Lepisosteus oculatus: one gene and its partner. The protein of the gene in region 1 purifies or fractionates together with the protein of each later gene. This does not show direct contact. Links are inferred from orthologs where the notes say so. Each region holds a gene or a part of one and is shown on either strand. Other genes may lie near its edges.

What was found.
Region 2: the proteins of cdk5 (region 1) and cct8 purify together in Homo sapiens (affinity purification with mass spectrometry; 3 studies listed by BioGRID and IntAct, with this or other methods). This does not show direct contact. The link is inferred for Lepisosteus oculatus from reciprocal best matches to the Homo sapiens genes CDK5 and CCT8.

What each region holds. Positions count from the first base shown.
Region 1 is NC_090701.1:30,515,599-30,522,698, reverse strand, and holds the start of cdk5 (cyclin-dependent kinase 5), read right to left. Parts: upstream 3,021-7,100; 5' UTR 2,904-3,020; coding exon 2,867-2,903; intron 2,767-2,866; exon of another isoform or gene 2,700-2,766; coding exon of another isoform or gene 2,678-2,699; intron 1,255-2,677; coding exon 1,166-1,254; intron 867-1,165; coding exon 799-866; intron 1-798. Other genes in the region: abcb8 (mitochondrial potassium channel ATP-binding subunit), read right to left, coding at 6,876-6,959. UniProt on the Homo sapiens protein: Proline-directed serine/threonine-protein kinase essential for neuronal cell cycle arrest and differentiation and may be involved in apoptotic cell death in neuronal diseases by triggering abortive cell cycle re-entry. Interacts with D1 and D3-type G1 cyclins.
Region 2 is NC_090700.1:19,416,086-19,423,917, forward strand, and holds the start of cct8 (T-complex protein 1 subunit theta), read right to left. Parts: upstream 3,001-7,832; 5' UTR 2,915-3,000; coding exon 2,855-2,914; intron 1,476-2,854; coding exon 1,385-1,475; intron 1,089-1,384; coding exon 1,009-1,088; intron 168-1,008; coding exon 18-167; intron 1-17. UniProt on the Homo sapiens protein: Component of the chaperonin-containing T-complex (TRiC), a molecular chaperone complex that assists the folding of actin, tubulin and other proteins upon ATP hydrolysis.

The sequences.
Region 1 (7,100 bases):
CGATTGACAGTTTGATTTACATTATGTTTTGTGCAGTTGTTGAATTGAAACCCAATTCTTTTAAAATAGAGTTTGTGGTATTGTTTGAATGGTTTATTCTTCATATTATCCCACATACAGTATTACAATTACTTCACTTTCCCCTTTAAACAACAACATTTTTCTAGTGAAGTTCTACAAGAACTGTAGTTTCTATCTATAATTTTAGTACTTGCATATTTTGCAGGTAGAGCGGTTGAACAGCCACTGTGTTTTAGTATATATATGTGTTTTTAAATCAGGGAAAGGCTAAGAGTGTTATCATTAAATTGCAAGTGAATATACTTTAGATAGAAAAATATACTGCAGTTACCCTATAACATCTATTACATTACAAACCCAGGTCCCACAGCTAGTCCCCTGACTTGTAAGAGGTATTCAAACTAGAGATCAGAAGCATTGGGTCACAAAAACATATATATCGGCCAATCTGGGCCTGCTAAATTAAGAAAGGCATTCTTAATTGTAGTTCAATGAGTGTTGCTCACCTCAGAATCTGAGAGGAGCTACATGTTAAGTTACAGTATGATTACAACTTCTATACATTCAGAATTTGAATGTCAGACAAACAACAATTTAAATGTTATAAGAATCACAAAATGATAAGTTCTTGTTACCTAGAAACAAACAAACCTGCAGGAGCACCACATAATTTACATTCCAATATCAAGCTTCAGATACAAACATGATTCAACACAACACCATTAAACAAGTCTGTTTCATGCCAGTTAATAACTGAAGAAATCAAAAACCACTTACCTAACTATATTTTTATGTTTTAGTTCTTTCAACAAGCAAATTTCTCGCAATGCTGAACTTGGAACACCCTGAAAAATTAGAGACATAATACTAATACATAAGAGGCATAATATGTATAAACATGGTAAATTTAAGTCACTATGGATAAAGTTTCAAACTGCATTCTGAGTTTTGTAATTCTATTATTAAATTAATTGTAACTGCATCACACAGCAAATTTTATGCTTTTGTCTAAACTCTTAATAGCACCTGAATGTAACAAATAATCTGTTGTGAATCTATCATGAAATTTACCAGAGAGAAAACACATGATAATTTTCAGTACCTCACTTGGTATGCACTAGAAAAGAAAATAACCAGTTCATACCTCATCGTCGTCGTCTAACCGTACTCTTTTCAGAGCTACAATCTCATGAGTTTCTCTGTTTTTGGCTTTAAAGACTGTTCCATATGTACCTGTATGAATATAAATAAAAGACAAAGAAGAAATAGTTGCTTTTAGAAAAATTGGAAACAAAGGGTAGAAGTATCAATTGGGAAGTAATCTTACAATGACTTCCAAATGAGACAGGGAACTATGTTTATTAATAATGATTATATCTTGAAGGCAGAATACATAACTGTATTTGCTTCTTCAAAACAAATATCTGGTTAATTTAGTATTTATATAACGGGAAAACTTTTATTGCAATGAAAAACATGATGGTAGCCTTACCATGTAAGGAAGGAGATCAAAATAAAACAAGCATGCAGTGAAACCAGCTGTGTTTAATTGCCACGTGAGATTGCTGTTACAAATAGGCAGCTGCAATACCCGAAGCTATGGAGAATGATGATTTGTTTTCATCGGAGGCAGAACACTAAAAAGGATACACAGGCGTTCTCTTTTATCGCGTATTCCTTTAAGAATATACGACCGAGAGACCGAGATAAAGTTTCCAGTTTCTTACGTTTGTATGTACAGGATAACTGTCCGTGCCCATTTGTAGGTTTTCTTCATGCCAAAACTACAGTAAAACTACGAATTCTGAAGTGTTATTTGTTTCGGAAGAGACAAGTCAGTAAGCAGATATATCTTGTTTGATAACTGTCCCCCCTAATAGTATTATATCAATAACTTTCCCAGGTTACTAACACATCCCGAAGTATATCGGTTCCCATGGAAACATTTCATGTGTGGGAATTTTTAGTTTAATAGCTTTAGACGAGCAGAACAATTCATTATGATTATAGATGCAGTATATACATATTGTTCAACAAACATTAGACGAGATTTTAGCAGATGAAATAGTGGCAATTAAAAGCACTCAACATTTAAAACAGTTTGAAAAACAACATTGCTTGCTTCTATACCGATTTAATCATCTTTTTATATTAGAAATGCGTTTTGTTATCATCAGTTACACTCTAAGTCCAACTACGCTTGGGCCTCAGGAAAAAGGTTTAAAATAATAGAACTACTAGGATATTATTTTACATTTATACTAACTAAGATAATAAAGACATCTGCTATAATGCGGTTCAGGCTAATTACAAATAAATAAAGCGCTAATAATTTACCATCTTTTACCACAGGACAGGTTTTAAAAAATCATTAATATAATGCTAAAAAGGAGCGGATTAGCTATATTTCTATATATATAAAAAGATTCTACAGATAATTTTAAATGGAAATAATCTAAAGCTGAATTGACAGCCCACAAAACAGCGGATCAAACAAACGAAAAATGTTATCTTACCGATTCAGAGTGAGATGAAATGTCATTATAAATTTTAAACAAAAAGCTAAGAATAGTTTCATTCATTCCCGTCGATAAATAAGAACCGACGACCTTTGAATCACGAAAATGACCATCAGAAAGAATTGCCTGTAACCAACCTGCTTTGCCCAAACTCCGCATTAGCTTTTACGCGAGGCCCGGGGCTTCTGATGGCAGCGTAGGCCACAGTCGTACGGAGATTTAAATAAACTGACTACAAGAAGAATTAACAGGGTTTCATCGCACACAAAACAATAAAAACGCACAACTACATATATCTGATCTAACAAATGTGCATTGTCTCTTACCTTCTCCAATCTTCTCAAGTTTCTCATATTTCTGCATTTTCTGTTCAAATTATATATATGTATGTTTTGTTTTCTCCCAGGATTAATTTCAAGGGAGGTTTTGCAATAAATTTTGAATGTAAGACTACAACAAACTGAGACATCTATTGGCAGAAAAATGAATTGCATGACTACAAAATCTGTCACCACCCTGAACTACAAGCGACAGCGAATGTGACGGACTGGCAAAGGTGTTGTTCATACAGTACATTTTCCGTGTACATACATTTTTTTTTTTGCTAAATCTTATTAAATTCTTTGGAATTTCATTGTCACATAGAACAGTTAATGGAAGTTAAAACTGCATCTTGTTGGTACAACCCTGGTTCTCTACAAGCAACGAAGCAATGATTTCCCATCCGCTACTGTGATGATCACTCCTTTTTACTTGCAACAGACTCCGAAACAAATACCATGGTTTCTGCACTTTACAAATGCTCGTCTAATATTCAGATACTGATGCAACAGATCTTTCTTGGAATAAAATGAATACATTTGTAGGTTTCCAATATTAACAAAGTTGATAAATTAATTGATGGTACTGAAATAAACCCCTTTGATGTACTTCAGAAACATTGGTGTTTCTTTTGTTTCTCGTGTTATTTGAAACATTTCAGTAACACTGACAGTTGGTGACTCCTCCAAGTTTTATGGGTGCTAAGACCCTTATCCCCCACAACACTGTCTTTTTCAACCTAGAACCAGTTCATCGACCCCAGTGTACATAAGTAATCCTACATTATATCCCAATTTATTACAGCCTATCAAGCTATCCATCTCACACAGCCCATGACTCAGAATATCCAAGGGACACACACTCATAGACCATATGAACAAGATGGACCCAAAAAAGATGGATCTGTCCAGGATCACTGTTCTCCAAAACCAGCTTAAGTCGGTGACTGGGAGTGCCTCCTTCCACTACAGCGAAGAACGTCTTTGTAATCCTTCGATGGTCTTTGGCGTCCTCTTCAACTCCAACCATCCTGAACATTGTGGTCTCTCATGTTCCCCTTTGCCCTGATTTGTCTATGTCCAGTTTTGGGTGGGGGAGAGGAGTAGACAACACAGAAGCCTTCCTCTGCTGCTCGCTAGAGACTCCCTGGTGTCCACATCCTCTCCTAGGTCCACGGCTGCAACCTGTGTCCTCCTCAATTTTTCCATCTTGAACTGTTTTCTGAGTTCTCCTAACTGGGACTAAACAATCTCTCCTAGAAAGGGCTCAGGATTCCTTCTTAAGGGAGGTGGAAGTGTCACAATGATGGCGCCTTTGAACTGTGTGGTACAGTAATTAAGGAGTGTGTGGTAAATAACGAGCGCGTATGCTGAAAGGACCTTTGCTCAATGTAAGGAAGCTCAGAGACCAAGGATAGATAATGCATCAATTGGCCATTCTCTGCAAAATTAAAGTCAACTTTGTCCTTGATACCTGTTGGCCCCGCACTCATTTTTTCCACTCAACAATAGCAGAAGTATAATCCTTCTTCCAACCATGTAACACTGCTGTTAAAACACTTTCGCTGCCTGTCCAATACTAAATGATTTATACAAGTCTTTATTTAATCAAGATTAGACAACTATAATACTATAGTTAATAATAATATAGTACTATAGCACGTGTATTTTAATTGAGGTACTAAACAGACTTCTGTAAACTCATAATCTAATACAAGTATGTACTTGCATTACCAAAAGTCTATATTCACACCACCTATACTTAGAAGAAGAAAATGGAATGCTTTTTCTCAGATTAAAATTTGAAAACTGCACTATATTAAAATACACATCTGATTGTAACTCTAACATTTGGAATAAAATAGTATAGACACAACAGAGTAAAATAAAACATATAATTATTAAACTGCATTTATATAGCCCTTTTCACTTTAAAGGATCCACCTTAACCACCAGAGCAACAGCACCCACCTGTGTGAAGTCCACATCTGTTAAATTCCAGTAGCACTGCCACCCAACATATCAAGAGGAAAACTGAAAAATAGCTCTACTAATTGAATCAAGAGTTGTGGTAGGCTGTATTGGGTAAGCCTAGAGTAGAACTGAGCTGGGGCTCATGAGTTAACACCCTGATCCTACCATGATTGCCACAGGATCGTTTAATGGCCAGCAGCTATATTACCCTGCAACTCACAACTGGCAGCCCATTGAAACTAAGCAGGTGTGAGCCCGGTCAGTCCCTGGATGGGAGACCTCCTGGAAAAACTAAGGTTGCTGATGGAAGAGGTGTTAGTGGTCCAGCAGGGGGTGCTTGCTCTGCAGTCTGTGTGGGTCCTAATGCCCCAGTATATTGAGAGGGACACTATACTGTAAAAAGGCACTGTCTTTTGGATAAGATGTAAAACCAAGGTCCTGGCTTTCTGTGATCATTAAAAATCCCAGGGCGTCTCTTGAAAAGAGTAGGGGTGTTACCCTGGTGTCCTGGCCAAATTTCCCATTTGGCCTTTACCAATCATGGCCTCCTAATAATCCCCATCTATGAACTGGCTTCATCATTCTGTTCTCCTCCCCACTAATAGTTGATGTGTGGCTGCTATGGCTGCTGTTACATCATCCAGGTGGGGCTACACATTGGTGATGGTGTAGAGGGGACCCCATTACCTGTAAAGCTCTTTGAGTGGAGTGTCCAGAAAAGTGCTATATAAGTGTGAGCTATTATTATTAATGTAATAATAATAACAACAACAACAACAATAATGATTATCAGGATCTAAGTTTAAGGTCTCATCCAAAGTCTCTCAATCATCAAGAAATGGAAGGCACCTTGTATCACCCAGAGAACTTCTGAGATCAGGTTGTATCTTCATACTGAGTAGATGAGCAAGGGATGCTACCACGAGGTTAATGGCAACTTTGAAAGAACTGCACAGCTCAATAGCTTAGATAGAACAAAATGAGCAGTGATGAGTGAAGAAAAAAATAGATGGAACAAAACACAAGCAAATCTTAGAAGAAAACCTGCCTTAATCTACTAAAGACTTAAACAAGTTATTGGATAACAGGTCATCTTTCAGCAGGATAATTGAAACAATTGCAATTGCAAAAGAATTGCTGCCAAAGGTGCTACCACCAAATATTGAATTCATGGGGCTGAATACTTAGGCAATCAATATGTTTAAGATTTATTTGTTTTAGTTTTTGCTGACATTTACAGTAGCTTATCTTAACCCTAAACATCTGCTGTATCAGCACTGATTTTTAAAAAATTAGAGCTTAAAAAATGTGTATACTGTACATCCATTTTTATTTCACAAAATGGGACACCACAAGAAGGGTCTGAATACTTTTGCAAGGTCCTGTACACACACTATGTCATTGGTCTATTAAGTGGACGTAGATGCTAATTCTAACTCCTTAAGGTAGAATACTTTCCCGTCCTTCAAGATATCATTACTGTATTTTAAACACGATGGTCCTGTAAATGTAATACAAAGTCAAAGAGGAAACAGAGAAATCATTTTATACTTTTCCAAAATTACTCAACACCTAACTTCTTAGGGTTGAAAAAGTTGTCAAGTTTAATTATCCAAAAAAATAAAGCAAAACTCAAGCAATAATTCTTCCTGTTCAATGGTTTTCATAAATTACTGCTGACAAACTCCTGTAGTGTTTTCATCGCTGTCTGCTTTTAAGGGATATACCTTCTTTTATAGTTCAAAAATTATAATCAGTATTGTACAAACTTTTTAACTTCATGATTACATTAAACTAGATCTTCAAACATTTCCAATGATATTTCAAAACCAAAAGAAAAATGCATTTTTGGACAAACATTCTCAAAGCAGGTAGACATTTTACTGCTCTGATTTTTCCCATCATGGTCAATAATTTCTTACAAGATTGTAGGATATGAACTGTCAGTAAGTGAAATCGATCTGAAAAGAAATTGATTTAGAAGGCAAAGACAAAGATCAACTGTTGATTAAAATCTTCTGTAGACTATGCTACTTTAGATTCATTTCTTTCCCTCTGTCCTCTGTCTTTGAGTCAGATCTGCGTACAGTCCACCTTTCTTCAGAAGTTCAGAATGTGTACCAGCCTTAGGAAAGACAAAAAAAGAACAACATCTCTTTTTCAGTGTTGCAAGATGAAGACATTAAGCAAACCACACAATGTTCAGTCTAAAGTTGGACTGAAAGTGGTTATTAAAGCAGTTAAGGTTTAAACTAATTCTCTTCTA
Region 2 (7,832 bases), on another chromosome or scaffold:
TGATTCTACAGGCTCACCTCAGACACTGACAGTCCCATTCTGAGAAGCTCTTCTGCCAGTTCCAGCAGCGCCCCAGCAAACACCAGAACAAAGTTGGTCCCATCCCCAACCTCCTGCTCTTGCATGTGGGAAGCCATGACGATCATTTTAGCTGCAGGGTGCTGAACCTGGTGGGTGCACAAACAAACAAAAAAAAGATCTTATGCACCTTGTTTCTTCTCCAATTCTCACACTGTACACATGTCACTGAATACCTTTCTCCTGCAATGGGGACTTTTATCAAAAGCTTTTTGACAATCTAAATTTACCAATCTAAATATTATATGCTCCATGTGTTTCATTAATTCTGATACTTGTTCAAAGGACTCTATATTCCATATAGGTAATCCTCTAGGTTAATTCTAATAACTAATTCCATAACCTTACATGTAATAGAATTCAGACTAATTGATCTATAATTATTTGGGTCGGTTTGGGCACTTGTCTTATTGATGGGCACTATTCTACAGTTCATGGGTACTATCCCTGTCTTTTTTTAGATTTCACCATTACAACTCCTCTGCCTTTACAACTATAGCATGAAGACTACCTATTTTATTCATATATTATTTTACGTATTCCTAGCCTGACATACAATGATGGAGACAGCAGTAGCACACTCTCTGCTAGAGTACAAAATATTTAAGCCACAGGGTGAAGTACTACATAGACAGTAAAGGTTTAAAAAAAGGAATACTGGTCCTTACAGGCTAAAAGATATTCTGATTTTGTTCAAAATGATATCTAAATTAATTAAGTCAACCGCCTTGTTAATTGATCATAGATAAATTGTTCCAAACCTTTAGGAATATTACCCATAAAAACTTTTGGACTGGGTTCCACATAACCAGAGTTGGAGATCCATCATTAAGAAATTAAAAGTTTCTGCTGATCTCTGTCTTCGGCTTTTCTCACAAAACACTAGTTAAACAATTAGGAATTAAGGCGGTTCAAAAATGAACTAAATACCTCAAGTTCTCGCAGAATAGTTGCAGCATCATTAGTGACAAAGAGCTTTTCCAAGTGGTTGATGACCATTTTATTCATGCCTGAAAAGAAGTAAAAAGGCCCAGATATTAAAAAACAGAATTCTGCATTCCTATAGATTAATATTTATGTGTACTTTTCTGTAGGCTTATAGCATTAAACACACATCCTGAAAATATCAAATCAGTAGTAGTACACCCAGTCACATCTCTTATTTAAAAAACATTTCAAAATTATTCATTATCCATGTAGGTCTTAAATCACAGAATCTCATAAAAAAATAGACTCAACCTCTATTGTAATATTGTATTGGGCACTGATCAAACATCTGATATTGACAAGCACAGTCCAGACCTACCATTTGGACCGTAGGCTGTCCGTGTGGTCTGTGCCAGCTCTTTGCAGGCCTGAATGTTTCGGAAGACTGCCTCCTCCAACCCAGAGTAGTGCTGAAATGAACAGGTTTTAAAAAATAAAACAACTTATTTAAAACAGCTAGCCTAATGATTAACTGAAAATTGATCTGGTCTGCCCTGCATCTGTGAATGCCACTCCTTTCACTGTCATCACCATAACATTTACTAACAATACAATATTTGTTTTGGGAAGTACTGCAAATAAGAGCTATGTCTATACTGTTGTATATGGGACATTCCATACAGACTGTGCCGTGTTCATGGAGCCTAATTATTCCACTAAAACAGGTTATGGAACCAATGATGACCTAACAGTACTAAGCATATATTGTTCACTTCCACACAGAGGTAGTTCAGCCCCCTGAACACATCTGCCATGTGTCAAGCAATTATTTCTGATGTTAACATTTGGATAGCTGTCTCCTGAACTAGAGTAACTGCATGAAAGTGTGTATAAACAAACTACTGTATGGCTGCAGGCATGTATTCCTGTAAATTATTTATTTTACATAGAGTAACAACTTTAAATCAAATTAGGCTTTGTACTGCTTGTGCCATCTTTATCACCTGTGATCAGACTGCATTAACGTTAAACAACAATGCTTCCAGAAATAGCAGTGATAAAACAATAAGCCCAGCATTTACCATAGATTCAATTACAATTTTGAGTTCGAGTCTACTGCCGCGACACTGCTGTAGAATTGACAACAGTTACGGCAACTTTGCCTGGCAACGCCCTGTAGCATCATGCCGAATACGTTTGTGTTGTATATACAATTGTTACTTGAAGTACAGAAGCGTCTAGCGATTTTAAAACAAGCCCTTCTCTATTATAAATCCGAATTAGTCTGAATTCGGAAAATTCAGTTCATGAAAATCAACTGGCGTATGCTTGGTACTAACTGTTCCTCCATGAACAAAAGCGTTAGCAATAATAATACTACGGATTTTAGCTACATTCCTGTTCGAGAGCTGTTTTAACACCGAATGGCAGCTCCCGAAATATCTCCATGTATGGGTAAAAACGGAGTGTCGTCAATGAATGATTTCCACTACGGCTGCCGTTAGAAAGCACATGTCCCTCGTCTTACTGCATTTAGCTACAGTACAGAAAATGCTTAAAGAGGCACTGATTACACAAATATGCTGCAAGATCGTTTAATAAGTTATGATTTACGAGTTATTCGTGCCACAACAACCTACAATTTCAAAAAGCCCGTACAAAACGAGCAAACGAATGCTATATATCACAATAGGATGAACTAATCTAACTGTGGCCTACACAGGCTTTTTCTAGAAGTGTCCCACATGACACAGCGTCCAACCGCACTTCCCTTGCAATTGATACAAAATTGGACATAAAAGGTCATACATAGGTTAATCTTCAAAACAGATGACTAAATGTTCTTTACCTTTGCACCATCCTTTAACATCTGGGCAAAGCCCGGAGCTTTAGGTACGTGAAGAGCCATATTTCAAGTGGTTTTGCTCCCCGGTACAGACAGAAAAAGAACCGGTGCGTGTGCGGAGAGTCAGAACAATCGAGCTACGAGCAAAGGCGGAGCAGGAAAAGTAAATCGAGTATCGAGTTCATCGCTGTAGCTGGTAGTGGGCTGAACCTGTGGATGTGCGTCAACTCGTATACTTTTCATCATGGGATTAACATCTACCTGTTTTTGTTGATGGTAGATTACACTCGTGATTACTTCGTTTCCATCATTATTAATATTTTTTATTCTTGTAAAAAACGTTATTTAAAAAGGCATACAAGTAATTTTAAAAGAGCAATGCCATGTGTATTATTTTATTAAATTGTTTTAGTGATCTTCAAAGCTTTTCTTATAATTTAAACGTCCATATGTGTATTCATTGAAAGGTGTCCCTACTCACCGTACATTTTGAATATGATCACAATCATAATAGGTAAACTATTTTGTTAATAATGGGTGATATGCTGTATTTGTAACAAGGAATGAAACACTTGTATATTGTAACGCTTACGGCCGACAGGCGCTGTGTAAGAGCCGGCGTACCAGAGCGGGTGACGTCACCGCCCTTCCCTGTGATAGCAGGACCACAGCTACTGGGCTGTGGAGAGATCTCTCTTTGGCTCACGGGGCTAGGTCGCTGCAGAGAGACGCGGAAGTCCCGGGTTCGAGCCCCGGACGGTGCAGGGGCCGACCTAATGCGGCAAGGGCGCCCGCCGGAGCCCCCGTTGCGTTACATTGGTGTCAGAAGTGGGATGGGATAGCCCTTCGCCGGGGACGGCGATTTAAGCGGGGGAGAGTGTAACGCTTACGGCCGACAGGCGCTGTGTAAGAGCCGGCGTACCAGAGCGGGTGACGTCACCGCCCTTCCCTGTGATAGCAGGACCACAGCTACTGGGCTGTGGAGAGATCTCTCTTTGGCTCACGGGGCTAGGTCGCTGCAGAGAGACGCGGAAGTCCCGGGTTCGAGCCCCGGACGGTGCAGGGGCCGACCTAATGCGGCAAGGGCGCCCGCCGGAGCCCCCGTTGCGTTACAATATTAAGGATCAAGTAATAGGTTTATTCCATGCTGAAAAGAGAAGAGAGAAAACACAACGTTTCGCCAGTGGAGTCTTCTTCGGGTGTAAAGTGTGGCACATGATGACACCTGAAGAAGGCTCCACTGCCGAAGTGTTGTGTTTTCTCTCTTCTCTTTTCAGCATGGAATAAACCTATTACTTGCTCCTTTGCAGATTGCGCATGCTGATGCAGCTACCCACCTGAACTACTTATATATTAATCCTTAGAGAAAAGTGCTTTAGCCATTATTAAGCAAATATGTCGTGGTGGGTACCCTCTTGATTTAATTTATGTTTTCTTCTTTAAAATCTGTATTTTATATTGCCTGATGATAATCTATGACTTTAAATTAGTGAAGTTGGACAATATTTTAAAAGAGTGGTATCTCTGATGATTCCCGTGAGATAGGGGTGTCATGTATTACATACTGTATAAATACATATAAAAGGCATAATAACTAGGATAAGATGCAGGCTGATGAGTCAATGATCTTGAGTATTAACTTAATTTTATGCACATAATCACTTCAATCAGTCAATTGAGACATCACTCTCAAACAGATTTAGTGTAATTTTTATTTGTACTGTAGGTACATATCCAGTGACTCATGGCCCAACTAGAACTGGTGGACCATTCAAAGGACCATGGACCTTGTCATAAAACACCTAACCTGGATTTAAAGGTAGCACTTGCAACATTGGTAACAGTCAATTAAACACAGCAGAAAAGGTCACAAATGAGAGCCCACTGAGCTCGTTTGGTTCTCTCTTTCTATAGTCACTTAACCAGTACTTGTTGCACTCTCCTTAGCACGGCACCATAAATTGAGAATTTAGTGTAGCCAATCAATCCTAGCCAACATGTCGAGGGGAGGTGGGAGTACACTGGGGCACCTGTTGAAAATCCACATGAACTTGCAGATGGCATGCAACCAGAATTTATCCTGGATCCCTGAGGCAGCAATACTAACCACTATGCCACCATTTCTTCACTACTGCATGTATAGTTACACATTGTAATTTCTGACTGTTTGGTAGTAAAGGTTAACACTGCCCAGCTCTGGTCATGTGTAAATGATCCTAAATGTTTTCTGAACTCAGCAGTATCTTCAGTTTAGTGCTTGCTGAAGTCAATACACTATGCTAAACAAGTCTGTCTGCAAGAGCGGAGTTCTCTGGATTGCGTCGTATTCTCATCATTCTCACTAGGTACTGCCGTTTGGTATCTATTTACAGTATGTGGTCTATAACCTTAATTTAGTCTTAAATTATCATGTTATGGAAACTCTGAACCTGCTCTATACATTGTAAAAAAGGCATATACTGTAGCACAAGGAGGGCAGTGGAGAATTATTTTTAAAGGTTCCAGAGAGGAAAGCCTTGGAAGAAAGACAACCTCAGAACAAAGGGAGAAGGAAGAGTTTTACAGCAAACATGAAAGCTTTTAAGTATGGCACATAACACTGAATTATTTAAAACGAAACGGCAAGACACTTGAAGAAGAAATGTGATGCAGTCATGAGGATCAATGTAATCAGAGGATTAGTTGTGGAGTGTTTTTTCCCTCCTAACTACTGTAGCAACTATTACATGTCTGGATTGTCCATGCATCAAATCAACTGGACATGGATGAGTCCTGTGGCATCTGTTTGATCTGAACTTGCCTTATATTCTCTTGTTGTTGTTTATGTTCAGTTTGTTTTTTTTCTGGGTCATCATACCATGTCAAAGGCAATGCTTCTGTTAGCCCATTCCTCTATGTAGTATTAATTTACATTTTATTTAAAAAAAAAACATTTTTATCCAGCTGGTCCTTTTCTTTTATATGCCGAATGCGTCAGCAGGGAGCATTGCACTGCAAAGGTTAAGGTTGTGCCCAAGTAATTAGGCAGCCTCTTTCTGGTACACTGCATCATTCCAGAGTTATTGCGTTCAGTCCAGCACAACTATGTCACTCAAAGCTGATTGGAGCTGGAGGCATTTTTCGTGTCTAGAGTCATGCCATCTGAGCAATTTAATTGGAACCCAACTGACAGACAGGGGCATGCCGACAACGTCCCTCAGCTGCCAAGCGCTGTCTGTGTTGTAAGCTATCTCAATGTGAACATGTTCGGAGGCGACTGACTGTGTGCAGTGAAGAGCTTGCTAAGCACCCTTCGTGAGAAGGTTTCTCTCAAGACATCCTTGTGAGCATAAACGGGCATTCCCATCAAAAACCGAAGACAAAATCTAAAGCTCACCCACAAAGAAGGGAGACTAGAGTTTAGAAATACACCAGAGAAAGGACGGTTAGTAGCAATATGCAGTCTTTACCCATCTCTGGTCTTAACTTATGAGTGCTGACAGCAGTTGGCTGTCAGATCTTTTGTTTGTAGGAGAGCAAGGCAAACAAGGCTGGCCCTGGTTTTACCTCACCCTTAGGATTGACTTCCTAAAGGTAAGTCAGTGTGAATTAATATTGCCTTTATCCTTTTGTTATTGGACCCTTATTGAAGTACATACTGTATAAATAAACCATGGCATGATAGATTATTGTATCTGGTTAACTTTCACCCAAAATGTGCCTGTAATGTTTAACACAAAGCATCTTCTCTCCTGAACTGGAAACTCTACTGATTTCTAATCAAGTGTCAGAATACTGTGCTGCTCTGTGCCTACTGAGTTTCATTCTCAGCTTCTAGTAGAGAGTAGTTCCTGCCTTCTCTAGCGAGCATGTGTTTTTTAAATAATTTTTCACTGCTACAGTGCTTTGTTGGCATTGGCAGCTTGCAGTCATTCATTTTGATCTGTTTCAAATATAATATTGTCATTTTCAGATGTAGCTGTTAGTTTAATTTTGACAGGCACAAATTCAAATGGAGCCAAATTAGGTCCCTCCTACTTTGAGAAACTTTCTGTTCTGGAACATTTAATATGACAGTTTGTATTCAAACAAAATTGTCTCTACTCAGAAAATGAGGAGTAACAGTGACAGACTGGCAAGATACACTGTTGCACTTGTTTGTATTTTAATACAATTGATTTATAATAGTAATGTATATTTCAAAATGTGTGTATTCACTGTTTTATCCTGTTTATCAGTGAAGGTACTGTAGTATGTTAAGTTTTTGTCTCTATCCATGTTGGGATCATGTTTTTGTTTTACGAGACCCAGCTGAAAGGCGAGCCTATGTGATTTGCTTTGTATTTTCTTTTTGGTTACAACAGGGTTTCTGTGGTAATTCAAACAATTCAACAGGAAAAGTGTTAGCAATATTGACAATATAAGGAAGAAGGCCAACATTTCTTAATCAGACTGATAGTTTGGACTTCATAAGCTGTGTTTGTACCTTTGAACTTCCACTGCTTTTTTAAATCTACTTTATTGGATAGATAGTAAATAGATGCTCTCAGTATGTATTGATTGGAGGTTGTATATCATCATTTTCAATATACTTTGTCATACTGCTGGACATTAGAGACTGAAAAATTATGTTGAGTTGTTTCAGGGATAAATTACAATTCTTTATATATTAGTGTTTGGAATTGTTTTGAGTTTTCAGCTTTGATTAATAACACAAGATTCAAAATATGCAAAAAAAAAGCTGAGAATAAAACAATATTGTTTAAATATTTTATGGTACAGCTAAAACCACTCCACAAAATAGAAGTATTAATTATTAAAGATACAAGAAAGTTAGTTAAAATAGTTCTTCAAGCTGTGGTAATCATAGAGGTTTAGAGAGCTTTGGGCCTACACATAAGCCTAAGACATTTCCAACAAATAACCAGAACAGAAATAAACCTTCTCAATACAGTTTAATATGGTAAAATTTTGATGGTGCACACGTTAATTGGCTTCTGAG